Saccharomyces cerevisiae S288C: one gene and its partners. Changing the gene in region 4 together with the main gene of any one other region gives a genetic interaction. Each region holds a gene or a part of one and is shown on either strand. Other genes may lie near its edges.

Region 1 (3,861 bases), on a different chromosome or scaffold from region 4:
TTCAAAAGTTTTTGGATTTGACACATTTGGTACTGTTTATGGGTTATTGTCCTGCATTTGTGGTATTTTCAACATGAGTCAAAACTTACTGGACAAATGGACACATACTACTTTCAACATGAATCCATTCCCAATAAACCTTACACTGGTAATCCTCACAGTCGTTTTTTCACTAACTTTAACATTTTACATACGATCTCAGATTTTGCCCAAGCCCGTGAATGAAAGAGGATTGTCCTCCAACTACCAAACTATCTGAGTGCACACTTTCAAGCTAACACGCACTTTATTTATATTTAAATGACATAAAGTTATATATCTAGAAAGTTTATTTATCGTTCTCAGTACCATCCTCATCCTAGTATGTATAGCTTGTACCCATTAAAAGAATTTTATCATGCCGCCGAAAGGAACAATTTCAAGTACTATCGGAAGATGAATGGTTAGATGTTAAGCGCTGTCACTTCAAACTTCACATTTATAAAGATGTCACATGGACCACTATTATCTACCTTAAGTTATTTATCAAGATAAGTTTCCGGATCTTTTTCTTTCCTAACACCCCAGTCAGCCTGAGTTACATCCAGCCATTGAACCTTAGAAAATCTTTTGTCATTAGCGGTTTGAGCCCTAAGATCAACATCTTGCTTAGTAATCACTGCAATGGCGTCATAACCACCAGCACCAGGTATTAAGCAAGTAAGAACTCCTTTTAAGGTCTGGCAATCATCCAATAAGCTAGTTTGTACGGGAGGTTCGATATCGGCACCAGATTCTTTAGTTATTTTTCTAAAGGAACGTCTAATTGTGGCAACTGCATCTCTAACTTCTGTGATTTCAGGATACTTTTGACAGGTACAGTCATTCCTCTCAAGAGACTCAAATATCTGATCGCTGTAATCGTCATGAGTCTCGTGTAAGCGATCTAGTTTAGATAGTCCATCCATAAATCTAGAATTTGCATGATCGAGTTCTGTATATATTTTCAAGCTTTCTGGCATATGCGAATCATACCAATTTTTTACCTTCTGGACCAGTTTTACTGTTTCTGAACCATTCTTAATATCGCCCATCCATAAAGTTAATCCCGAAGGTAAATGGTTACTTTTAATCGTAATATTCCAGTCTTCTTCATCAACCAAATGCGCCAGTTTACTGCCGTAAGTAGCACTTCCAATATCTGGCAAATTAGAGATTAATGCGGGTGGGAATCTTCTATATCTGATAGATCCATATGCTGCCGCCGCTACATCAAACCCGCTTCCAATTTTACCCTGAGCTTGACAATGAGCAACTTGTGCTAAATTATGAATAACTTCTCTATATTTGTCTACATTATTTTCCAGGTCCGATACAAAAAAGGAGGCCAAAGCTGTAGTTAAAACTGTGACTAAACCTGCCGAGGAGCCCAGCCCTGTTTTGGGAACTTCTTCAATTCTGTGCGAATGAAAACTCAATCTTCTGTTGCCACGATGTTCGGTAACGCTATCCTCCTGAGAATGGTAGGCATCATCAGAGAAAATATCAATAACGAACAAGTTTCTATTGCAGTAGTCGTCCATGTTAGGTTTAAAGTAGCTAAATACGTTAGCGATAACTTTTTCAATGAAAGGGTTCTTAGATCCGCCTATCGAAACAGGAATGAAGCCACTTTTAGGACTTATATGGTACAGCCACTCCCCATCTTTAAATTGTTTACTTTTCACACGCACTTCAAACTTATCAGACCCTTGCAATGAACCGTAAGGATGGGCTACAGCATGCATTCTTGCCGATAATCCGACTACAAATGCTTCATATTTTGTATCTAAAACTAAATATCCACCAGCTAGTAACGCTTTCCCTGGGGCACTGAAGGCTCTCAACTCTGACATTTCTCGAGGCAGCCGATTGATTTATTATGAGGCCTTCCAAGATGTTTTTTCACCTTTTTTGTTTTTCCATTCTTTATATAATCTTTCTTTCCATTCGACATGACGTTAACTCCGCCTTAAAACCGAACTTTTTTCCTTTTAGATCTCGTATAGAAAAACGCATCGCAATAATTATTACTATCTACATATTCCTGTATACAATTTGATTATTTGTCAACACTTGGATGCGTATTCTGTCCACGGCTTTTTGGCTCGTGCCCCCTACGCCTTTTAGTATTTGATGCGGCAGAACTGCCTTCTGTGATTTTTCTTTTCCGTCTTCTGCTGTTGTAGTTTCTTTTACGGCTTTTCTTTTTTGCTTTAGTTTTGTCCTTTTCGCGGTTTGTTTCCTCATCATTATTATTTTCTGGAGAACTTTTATCATTGATTAGTTCCATACTTGGTTTCTGTTCTTCAAGTACAGATTTTGAAGGCATTTCCTCCTGTTCTTCTTTAACTTCTACTTTAACAGGTATATCCACTGCTTGATGTTCGGGCTCCTCACCTTCATTTACTTTGATGTTAATGGAATTATCGTGTGGCTCATTATCAACATCGTGGCTAGATAAATGTTCTGATCTATCATCCAAAACGGATGTTACATTGGTTTTATCGTGTTTCTCAAGCGTGGTGGCGGGAATTTCATCATTAATTTCCATAGGGACTTCATTTGGCGTGTCTGAGAATATTTCATACACTTCCGGTGATGTTGGCGCACTCTTTTCAGCGGTAATATTTTCCGAATTTGAATAGGGATAAGAATCTGTCACTTCTTCCTTATCAGACGGAGGATCAGATGGAAGATCTGTGGACGGTATATTTCCGCGTTGCCTTTCATCATCATTCATTTTACTAGAAGCTGCTGTCTCTGTAGGGCCCTCTATTTCCAATTCGTACAACTCAGCTTCTTCTGGCTCTGAATTTAGTTCTTCTATTGACCTCTCCTGATTGTTTGATAGGTCCAGGTCTTCTTCATGTTCGGGGTGTTGAATGCTAATATCTAACTCCGAAAAAGTGTCTTCTTCAATTGCTCCAGCATATTTCTCATTAACGGACTTTTCAAACGTGAGATCCCGTTCACGGCTTGTATTAACTTCGTCTGATTCTTCTTGATTTTTTCCTCTCCTGGAATCTTCAATGAGCCTCTGAGAATAATTCTCTAGGTCACTTAGATTCTTTAGGAGTTGTTGTCTCTTAATATCATCGGGGGCATTACTGTGAATATTTGCTGATGTTATATCTCCATATATGGTATCAAATTCTTCTTCATTCTCGCTGTGGTCTTTCTTTTCGAAATGTTGCTCGGATTGTAAACCTTCAACTAGCGGCTCTTCCGACTTATGCAAATTTTCCTTGTCCTTTACTTGCTGTCGAAACACTTCGGAGTCCTCTTCATAAGCACCGTTTGTCGTGGGATCGATGTTTATCACACGAGAATTATTACCATTGTCATTATGTGCTTCTGCGGTAACTCCTCCGAGTATGACAGCTTCATCTTCATCGCTGTCTCTCTCTTTGCTACTTACACTTTTCATATTAACAGATGCATCGGTAGAATTCGACTTGTTAAAAATGTCTTGATTATAATCACCAATATCAACGTTATCATCACTCTCAGAATCCATAACATCAATTTTTTTCACGAATGATTCAGCTACGTCGACTACCTTACCCACTCCCTTAACTACAGCTCCAATAACACGAATTGGGGATGAAAAAATATTTGATCGATCAGATTCTGGCTTCAATGGTTCCACAGACTCAATTTCCGAACTGGACACCCGAATGTCCAAATTATGTTTTGCAGATCCCTCAACATTTTTTTCAGCTGTGGAGTCTTGGTCTCGGTCTGAATCAGAGCAAGCTTGGCTAACCTGATCATGCATATTGGTATTATTTTCCAGGGCTTTTGTGTTTTCAATGGTAGTTGCTCTTCTTTCAAAGAGCA
Region 2 (2,836 bases), on a different chromosome or scaffold from region 4:
CGAAAGATACGATAAGGAACACCAAATCAGAGCCAAGTTCGTTGAAGCTTTGAAAAAGGAATTCCCAGACTACGGTTTGACTTTCTCCATTGGTGGCCAAATCTCTTTCGACGTTTTCCCCGCTGGTTGGGATAAGACCTACTGTTTGCAACACGTTGAAAAAGATGGTTTCAAGGAAATTCATTTCTTTGGTGACAAGACTATGGTCGGTGGTAACGATTACGAAATTTTTGTCGATGAAAGAACCATCGGACATTCAGTACAATCCCCTGATGACACCGTCAAAATTTTGACTGAACTATTCAACTTATAGCTTTATTTCCAGGTTGCTACGTGATTATGCCATTTGTGATCCGTTTGGTGATTCTTTTTTATCCTTCTTATATAAATAAATATACTCTTACTACGTTATTGAATGTGTACTCTTACTGAACTGTGTTATACAAAACGTAAATGCAATTTTCAAGTACCAAGTCTAGCCCTTTTTCCTCGCTTGTCGCCACTATGTTAATAACCTCATATATGCTAATACAAGTGCAAATGTACCTGTACAGACACCTATCAGCCATTGCATGACTTGAGTCTTGACAGAATCAATCTGCATCTTCATATTGGTCACTTCTTGCTCAATTTTGGTGTCGATTTCTTTTATTTGCAGATCGTGATGACTACTTTCTTCCCTAATTCTGCCTTTTTCTAAGGACAGATCAAGTTTGAAACCGGCGTTTGTTTTGGTAATTTCTTCCCTTAGTTTGTTTCTTAGTTTCTCCAGATCGTTTTTCACACTTTCGTACTCGTTTTGAATATTGTGAAATTCACTTCTATCAGCACTCAATAGCTGATCTCTTAACTTTGCAAAATCAACACGTTGTTGATAGCTAAGTTGGGTCAATTTTTCTCTCTTTGCCAGATCCTGTGAAACATGATTAACCCCGCCCCTAATTGCATCTGTCATTATCTCTACTATTGTAGTTGCTTGATCCTCTTGAAATTTACCGTTCTCTATAAGTAAATCTTTAAAGTGGTTCGTATTGGGAATATGCACAGTTTCAAAGTCACTGCCCAGCAAAAAGGACGTTCTATGAAAGCAACGCCTTGCAGGCAATCCAACAATACGCTTGAGCATTTTATTCCGTTCTACCTTACTTTACTTATTACGCTCACTTGAAATGACTAATTACAGATCTGTATTCTTCATTATTTTTTATTTTTCTTATAGTTCCCTTCTTGCTTTTTCGTGTGTCCTCTATAACAATAATGTAAATAATTATATCTCCAATAAAAAAAGAACTTGAAACAGCTGCCTACAGTGAAAGAAAATGATGTACATATTTCCTTTTATATAAAATTATATACAAATCTATATCGCCTAGTCCTAATTTTTTGAATTTTGCCTTTTCAATTCGTGAAAAATCTGTTTCTTATGTGTCAGTAGATCATAGAAAATCTTAAAACCAATTTCATTATCATCGGTGATCTTTGACTGGATAATACAATTGGCAAATTCTTGTGAAATTGAGACGGTAAACTCATCTGCTACTTCATTACCGTTCTCTCCCATTTTCAGAATTTTAATTAATCTGTAAAAATGAGTTGTAATAGCGTCTAGTGTCGCTATGTGTGGTTTGCTTAGAGAGGACAGAGTAGTATAAAGGCCTCTTATTCTCTTGGTATCAAAGCCTTCTTCGTTGTCATCGTCCTGCTGATTCTCGGGAGATGATGTAGAATTTTGCAACGCAGTTTCAACTAAAGGTGGATAGTCAAGGTAAAGCACCCGAAGAATATCAGAGACATCATTGGGAATTAGTGGGTCTGGTAATTCTAATAAATAAATTTTAACAACACTGGCGATGGTGCTTGGCTCCAACTTGGACGTAGAAAGTATATCAAATATTTCCCCTTCGTTGTGGAACTGTTGTTTGTTCAATAGGTTTCGAAGCTGATGTGTTAAACTTAATTTCACCGAATCAGTCCAAATTGAAGTTCTTACTTTATCATTAGGTAAGTCAGGATATATTTTGTCCATATATGAGAATATCGAAGAAATTATCAACGGAACGACTTTCTTGTCTAGTCTACAACGAGTTTCTAGATCAACACCAAAGTTTTGAAATGAACCAGGATTGTAGTAATTATTATAAACAATGGCTTGCGGCTTGAAACTGCCCGTCTTGTACTTAACTAAAAGTTGCAAAAGGTCTGCAGTGGGATCAATATCGTTTTCTAGCGTGAGCATTTTATCTATGCACAGTCTTAACGAAGAAATCTTGTTACCCAAGGTAGAACAAAAATCTAGTGTCGCTTTCTTGATCGCATTCAGTCTATCGGACTCACATTTTTCCATAAACGACAAATGGTCAATCAACAACTCCTCAACCGAGCATCTCAAGGCATCCATCTTGAAGCACTCCTGGTAATACTTCTTATCTGACGCTGCAAGCGCATCCATCATTCTGAAAAGCGTCCTTTCATTATCGGATATATGCGGAGCTTGGATCTTCGCTGCCCCCTGGTCGTTACCAATCTTGGATTGAATAATTTCCTTTGCAGATGAACCATCCCAGTTGTTGAACCGGGATATTAAGGATTCACCAGTGGTAGGCTCCTCTGAACCGGGCATTGGCACATTGGCAAACATGTACGCGGTATTCTTCCATTGGTATTGAAATTTTTTAGAGTTGACAAATGTATTACCAACACCGTTGCAATATTTCAAAAACCCTAAATTCAACAAATCTTGGCCAAACGTTTCAGCTTGATCAATATCCTTTAACGACATGTGGTCAAGCAGAAACTTCGTTATTTCTCCACCATTGTTGGTGTTGCTCAAAGAATA
Region 3 (3,738 bases), on a different chromosome or scaffold from region 4:
CACAGGTCTCACGCCGCTGGAGATACAATCACAACAACAAAAACTACGACAACAACAACTACAACAACAGAAGTTTGAAGCTGCTGCTTCATATTTAGCCAACGCTACCAAATTAATGCAAGAATCAAATCAAGATAGCCATTTATCTGGCACCCACAACAATAATAGTAGTAAAAACGGTAACAATAACCTCATGACGATGAAAGCCTCCATAAGCTCTCCCAATACTAGCGTAAATAGTATCCAATCTCCCCCTAGTGTCAACAGCGTCAATGGCTCCGGGCAAGGTGTATCTACCGGTATTAATGTCTCTGGCAATAACGGGAGAATTGAAGTAGGTATTGGAAATTCTGTGAACCCCTACAATGGCAGAATAAATTAATTGAATCATGCACGTTATCCAGCATGTTCACGAAGTGAGTAATAAAAAATTATTCGCCGAAGTAACATGTACACGTCTATGTTTGTGGACAAGTTACGCTATTTGCATTTAGAGATTTCTTCTCCAATGTAAATTATTTTTTCTTCGGGGGGTATACATTATTTATTTAAGTAGACATTATATTTCTTCATAAGGGTAGGAGAGAGCGAATACAAATGCCCAGTAAATTCCCCATAAGTAGTTCTTAAAATATAATACCATAAAAGTGGCCATAAATAGGAAGGGCCATGGATTATTGGGTAGAATTTTTATAAATGCCATATGCAAAATAAAATTAGAGAATGAAATACCGAATATTTCCCAAGGATAATACTTTTTTTCTTTCCATATGACTTTCTCGACGTTTTCTTCAAATGACTGAGTCATTGCTTCCCTAGAAAAGTATTTCTTGACTCTTAGCGGGCCATTCCTCTCAAAGTTCACAGAACCGTTCTGCAAGATCTTTCTGCTTTCATCAATTGCAGTAGCCCATTGAATAGGGACGGCAGGTTTTAGCCACCCAGTGGCAGAACTTTCATTTTCACCAGCAACGTAAGATTTGATAGTCTCCAAAGGACCTCCATTGTTTACTGCTAGTACAGGCTTACCTAATTTCATGGCTTCTAAAGGAACAATACCAAAGTGCTCATATGCTGGTGTATACAATAACATTTCGGTTCTTTCGAGCAGTAATTCTTTCAGAGATGATGAAATGGAAGTTAAAAATATAATTTTACTATTATTGGTTTTGAATGACTCTAAATCGGAGACGCGCTTTATTTCTTGGTAGTATATGGTTGTATGGGATAATTCGTATTCATCGGCCAGAGACTGTAGTTCCTTCAAGTACTCCACATTTTCTGCAACCCTCTCGTCATAACCACCGCAAATAACTAACTTAACGTTGTCATTGATTTGATCTTCAGATAACGCAAAAGCCTTTATAGCCAGCGCAACATCCTTTTTTTTCTCAAAACGATTTATACTTAGGTAAAATCTATCGCCTTCGTTAAACACTGTTTTGAAAAATTTCTTGTCAATATCTTCAATTTCGATTGTTGATAAATCCACGCATGGATAAATGACGTCTGGATCATTGGATAAATACTTGAACGTTTGGTGGAACGTATTCTTAGTGAAATTTGAATTTACCACAACAGTATCGGCAGCACTCACGGAAAACTGTTCTATTAAGTCAAATGGTAGTCTGTATATTTTCTTCAATAGCCCAGCTCTTTGAGCCAATAATTGGTCGGGGAAATGACAATAAAACATCAAAGTGGCAGAACTAAAGATATGCAGAAGCGGAATACATGTAGACAGTTGATCAATGATAATTAATTGGTACGCATTCACTTTTTTCTGTAGGATCAATTGAATAACTAAATAAAGCTGTCTAATTGTTGCGAAAACAATAAAAAAACGACCCAAAAAGTTTGTCGGTAAAAAATCACCATAAACTTCGACTTTTAATTGGCCGTTTTTAACTTCTTCGAAACAATGTGATTTATCACAGTGACTAGTATAGATGATTACACTATGTCCTTGTTGCTGTAGACCTAATGCTGCATCGACGACTAACCTTTCAGCGCCCCCAATACCTAGGTCTGGATGAATAAAAGCAATCGTTCTTTTATCCTTTTCAATCATTTTTGCTTGTCTAATCGACTCTTTTTTATCTGTCTTTACTACTGTATCTATTTCGTGACTTCTTAAATGGCGAACGTAATCTTTTGATGTTAAAATGAATACATCATTTATTTTGTTGTTCGCGCGTTCATCTAGCCAGGCACTTGTTTATAAAAAAAGAAGCTATACGCAAGGCTCTCGATCTATAAATTGTATCTGTGATTGTGACCCTTTCGTATATATGTTATAATATTTACAAGAATATACATTTATCATGATAATCTCTGGTGCTTTTTGATGATCTTTGGAAGAGCTTTAGCCCAAGATTTTGTTTTACTGTCAGTTAGCATAAATACGCGGCCGCCCTGTTTCATTCTAGCAGTTCTGCCCACTCGGTGTATCAGGTCTATTGACGTTTTGGGTACATCGTAGAGAACAACATTCCGTACACCTTTGAAATTGAGCCCTCTTGCCATGAGGTCGGTGGTTACGAGTACATGCAAAGACTTGTTACTGGGTGCGGTACCATTAGAATTTGTGTTTTTCAATTTGCCGATGACGATGTTGGAATCAGGAATTTCAAATTTCTTCAAGGAAGTGGGAGGTGAAGTACTCTGAGCAACCACCTCCGAAAGTGGTCGCGGTGGTGATAAAAAGGGCATAATTTTCTCGGATCTTTCTTCAAATGTATCTTCACCAGTTAAACCGATGGCATTATGACCGAATTTCTTATTCAATAGGTTAACAATTTCAGGAACATTCTTTTTTTCGTTAACAAAGATAATGCATCTTTTCTCGAACCCTGGTTCCGTGTCATCATTTGAAATAGCATATAAAGTTTGTGCCAATGCTTTGATCTTGGATCCCTTGAAAGGACTTAAGGCAGAATTTATAACTTTAAAGTCCAAAGCGAATGGTAACTTATGCAGTCTGGGTGTCATTATAGGAACCACTGTAGGAAATAGTCTTTGCATTGTTTTATTAAACTCTTGAGGAATAGTAGCGGAACAGAAAATAAGGTGATTAATGTTAGGAATTCTCTTTATTGCGGAGTGCGTTTCTTCAAGCCATGACCTATCTAGAAGTGTGTCAGCTTCATCTAGTACTACGAAACCCACTTTGGACAAGACTTTATCAGGTCTAGTTATCATTCTTATGGAGAACAGGTTCAGTAGTTTTCCCGGAGTAGTGACTAAAATATCTATTCTATTTTTAATGTTCTCTAATAAATCACGATATGATGTGGCCTTGTCCCACTTGAAAGAGTTTAAGCCTAACAAGGTTTTCGTCTTGGAAACAGTTTCGTATACTTGGTCAACCAATTCATGCGTAGGCACCAGTATGATGGACCGAATCAGAACGTTTTTTCTTAATGTTTCCCATAATTCGGGAGTTTCCAACTCCTGTCTTTTCAAATAGTCTATTAAAGGTATCAAGTAGGCCATGGTCTTACCTGAACCTGTCTCAGCGGCAATCGCATGTATTTGTAACTTTGGATCCATTAAATTTTTGGATATTCTCTTAATGGCCACTGTTTGAATGGGACTCGGTATTATATTTTCACTGGTTTTTTTCCTACTATCTTGTAGCTTCAGGGACTCTTTGGAAATGATTTCTTTCACAGCGTCTCTGACAGGTGGAAGTATAAGCAATTGGTCGAAATTCGATATTTTTTGAATGAGTTTATT
Region 4 (3,941 bases):
AGAACTCCCAACAAACAGATGTAATAGAACTAGCGAATAAAAATAGAAGCGAATTTGAGGAAGCTACTTTGAAATATGAGGCTCAAATCTCTGACTTAGAAAAGTACATTTCTCAACAAGAGCTTGAGATGAAAAAATCCATTAGAGATAATTCTTCTTACCGCGACAAAGTGCAGGAAATGGCCCAAGAAATTGAATTCTGGAAAAGCCGTTATGAATCTACCATGATAGGCTCGAAAAATATTGATAGTAACAATGCACAGAGTAAAATTTTCAGTTAACGAACTTTTTTTTAAAAATTTGGAAGACTTTATATCCTTTATTTAAAAAAATAATGATGAGATGTTTTGTATATACAGAATGAGAATATGCATTATTAACAGAAAAAGACGACACGAGCGTTATATACTAAGTGGCATGAACTCTTTCACCCCGTATCCTTCGATAGTAGTCTTAAAGGTGGTACATAAAATAAAGAAAATAACCGATTCAATAGATAAGCAGCGGAAATAAAGTCTTTTTCCTATCTTGAAATCTCCAAAATAAAAGTAATAAAGTACTGCTAAAGTTGTTCAAAACCAACCCTTCTTCTTGGGACTATCGTTTTTGGAGGAGGAGCTGTTACCCAATCCATATGCCTTCAGTACATTTTCCACATCTCCAAAGGATCCTCTGTCTCCTTGCATTACAACAGTAGCTCTACCCTTACCATTGCCAGCATTATTTACATTTCCCGTAAATATCATTTCGGCAACACGTGAGATATCATCTGGCTTCAAATCTTCGATCTTACTTATCATTTCGTTGACTGGGATTTTGCGACCATGCATGAGAACTTGTCTGCCCATATCTTCCAATTCTACCAGTTTAGACTCTAGGTTCATTAGTAGTGAAGACTTCAACTGATTCTTGGCCCTGGAGACTTCGTCTTCAGTTAACCTCAAATCCTTATTAGCAAATGTATTATACATTTGCTGTGCAATTACCTCAACCGCTTGAGGAGCTGCCTGCGGTATACAAGATAATGAAATACCGAAAATACCAGAATCCGAATAAGAATGGTTGAACGCAACACAATTTTCAACAAAGTAATACTGGTTCAAAACGTGGGTATACAAACGAGAATACATCCCCTTTCCTGGCCCACCAGCACTGAAAGAACCACCACCTCCAAGTAAAGTTTGTAATGTTGCTAAAGCATAAATGTCTGGATGATCTATAGGGAGACCTTCAAATCCGATCTGGATGTGGAATAATTCTGGTAAATTCCCAAACACTGGTGCTGGTGGAATACAACTTTCCCCGCCCGTATATTGGGCAACTTTTTTGGTGATCGGAGGGTGTGTAGATTGCCAGTCACCGAGATACTTTTCTGTAAGCTCTAATGCCTTTTCGTGAGGAACACCAACAAATGCCGCAACAGTATTTTCTGGGGTGTAGAATTTATTTCTGTAGTCCAATAAGTAGTATTTAGAAATAGAAGGAATGAGCTCTCTAGGGCAGATTAAAGGGGACCCCAAAGTTTCTCCGGAGTATGCTGCTGTGTGCAACAGCTCAGGTAATACCAATTCTGGCTTCATCCAAACTTCATCGATTTCATACTCTGCCGACAGCTTCTGTTCTTGCAGTTCTTGCTCAGTAATCTTAGGGAACCTCACAGTTTCTGACATTAATTGAAGCATTTTACCCACATCCTGGTTGAACACAGAAGCCTGATACATCAAATTTTCTCTAGACGAGGTACACTGGTAATTCCCACCCAGTAACTCCAACGTCTCTGCCATTGCTCGGCCCTCGACGTGTTCGGTTGATTTGAATGCTAGTCTATCCAAGATATGTGTACAACCCTTCAAATTCCTACCTTCAAACCGTGATCCTGCGTCGATGTATAGGCCTAAGGCACTAAAGTGTCCAGGAGTATTTGATGTCGCCACTTTCAGTCCATTCGCTAGTGACGAAAGCTTAAAATTATCGGTTCTAGCGATGTTAGAGTACAACCTCTGAACGCCGTTCCTTAGCATCTTTTGTTATTAATCAGCTCTCTGCTTTGCATTAATTTGACCACCTGCCCTGAAACACCTTTCTTCTAGTCCACCTGTGTAGGCTTTTTCACCTGAATTGTTCATTCTCGATACGCCCTCACGCCGGATGAAAAATTTGTGCAAGAGTCATCATCTCGAAAAGATATGGTGATAAAAACAAGTGTACTTCTAACCTGCCTAATGGTTATAACAGTAGCATAAAGTAGATATACGGACTACAGAAAATGGTTCGTGCCTTCAAAATTAAAGTTCCAGCTTCTTCCGCCAATATCGGCCCTGGTTATGATGTTCTTGGTGTCGGTCTTTCTCTATTCTTGGAGTTAGATGTCACCATCGACTCCAGCCAAGCTCAGGAAACAAACGACGATCCCAACAACTGCAAGCTGTCTTACACTAAAGAAAGTGAAGGCTATTCTACGGTCCCATTGCGTTCTGATGCTAACCTGATTACCAGGACTGCGTTATATGTGTTGCGTTGCAACAATATTAGAAACTTCCCCTCCGGAACCAAAGTTCACGTCTCCAACCCAATCCCACTTGGCCGTGGATTGGGTTCCTCTGGTGCAGCAGTTGTGGCAGGTGTTATTTTAGGTAACGAAGTGGCCCAATTGGGTTTCTCTAAGCAACGTATGTTGGACTACTGTTTGATGATTGAACGTCATCCAGACAACATAACCGCTGCTATGATGGGAGGCTTTTGCGGTTCATTCCTAAGGGACTTGACCCCACAAGAGGTGGAAAGACGTGAGATTCCATTGGCTGAGGTGCTTCCAGAACCTTCTGGTGGTGAAGATACCGGTCTGGTTCCCCCATTACCTCCCACCGATATCGGTAGACATGTCAAATACCAATGGAACCCCGCCATTAAATGTATTGCGATCATCCCACAGTTCGAGTTGTCCACCGCCGACTCCAGAGGCGTTCTTCCAAAAGCCTACCCAACCCAGGACTTGGTTTTCAATCTACAAAGATTGGCCGTCTTGACCACAGCTTTGACCATGGACCCACCTAATGCCGACTTAATCTACCCTGCTATGCAAGATCGTGTCCACCAACCTTATAGAAAGACATTGATCCCAGGTCTCACGGAAATCTTATCATGTGTCACCCCATCCACATACCCTGGCCTATTGGGTATCTGCTTGTCAGGTGCAGGCCCAACTATCTTGGCTTTGGCCACTGAGAATTTCGAAGAAATCTCTCAAGAAATTATCAACAGGTTCGCCAAAAACGGCATCAAGTGCTCCTGGAAACTACTGGAGCCTGCCTACGATGGTGCTAGCGTCGAACAGCAATGAAATGTCCTTTACCCCTAGTATACTGTGTTAAATACTATTGTAGACCATATACATACTGTAATTGACCGTTAACGGTTATTATGCTGAGTCTTCTTCCGTTACCCGTCTTTTCTATCTATTTCGAAAATAAAAAATAAGTGAAAAGAACGAAATTTCACAACCATTAACAATACAGATAATGAATCGAAGTTGTTTTCAGTCTCAATTCAAAAGACTCATAGCCAAGGCCAGTTGATTGATTTAGCCACAAGTATCATTCAACGTAATATCCACAGGTGTTTTTTTTCTCACCGGAAGGCGAATAAAATACAGGAGCTAGAGCGTGTAAGATAATGAACAAGGAATCTAAAGATGATGATATGTCCTTGGGGAAGTTTTCCTTCTCCCACTTCCTATATTACTTGGTGCTAATAGTAGTAATAGTGTACGGTTTGTACAAGCTTTTCACTGGACATGGATCCGACATTAATTTCGGGAAGTTCTTGTTAAGGACATCCCCTTATATGTGGGCCAATCTTGGTATTGCCCTTTGTGTAGGCTTAAGTGTCGTGGGGGCAGCATGGGGTATTTTCATTACTGGTTCATCCATGATTGGTGCCGG

The links.
Region 1: mutations in MAS2 (region 4) and ERG8 together harm fitness more than expected from each alone (negative genetic interaction), as found in Saccharomyces cerevisiae (one large-scale study listed by BioGRID).
Region 2: mutations in MAS2 (region 4) and FMP32 together harm fitness more than expected from each alone (negative genetic interaction), as found in Saccharomyces cerevisiae (one large-scale study listed by BioGRID).
Region 3: mutations in MAS2 (region 4) and ALG2 together harm fitness more than expected from each alone (negative genetic interaction), as found in Saccharomyces cerevisiae (one large-scale study listed by BioGRID).

The regions. Positions count from the first base shown.
Region 1 is NC_001145.3:710,329-714,189, reverse strand, and holds ERG8 (phosphomevalonate kinase), read right to left. Parts: upstream 1,875-3,861; coding exon 519-1,874; downstream 1-518. Other genes in the region: FMP42 (Fmp42p), read left to right, coding at 1-259; ESC1 (Esc1p), read right to left, coding at 2,081-3,861.
Region 2 is NC_001138.5:41,105-43,940, reverse strand, and holds FMP32 (Fmp32p), read right to left. Parts: upstream 1,127-2,836; coding exon 503-1,126; downstream 1-502. Other genes in the region: phosphomannomutase SEC53, read left to right, coding at 1-313; GTPase-activating protein RGD2, read right to left, coding at 1,376-2,836.
Region 3 is NC_001139.9:379,201-382,938, forward strand, and holds ALG2 (GDP-Man:Man(1)GlcNAc(2)-PP-dolichol alpha-1,3-mannosyltransferase), read right to left. Parts: upstream 2,072-3,738; coding exon 560-2,071; downstream 1-559. Other genes in the region: deubiquitination module subunit SGF73, read left to right, coding at 1-382; MRH4 (ATP-dependent RNA helicase), read right to left, coding at 2,323-3,738. UniProt on the Saccharomyces cerevisiae protein: Mannosylates Man(2)GlcNAc(2)-dolichol diphosphate and Man(1)GlcNAc(2)-dolichol diphosphate to form Man(3)GlcNAc(2)-dolichol diphosphate.
Region 4 is NC_001140.6:157,172-161,112, forward strand, and holds MAS2 (mitochondrial-processing protease subunit alpha), read right to left. Parts: upstream 2,022-3,941; coding exon 573-2,021; downstream 1-572. Other genes in the region: MYO1 (myosin 1), read left to right, coding at 1-281; THR1 (homoserine kinase), read left to right, coding at 2,267-3,340; VMA16 (H(+)-transporting V0 sector ATPase subunit c''), read left to right, coding at 3,673-3,941.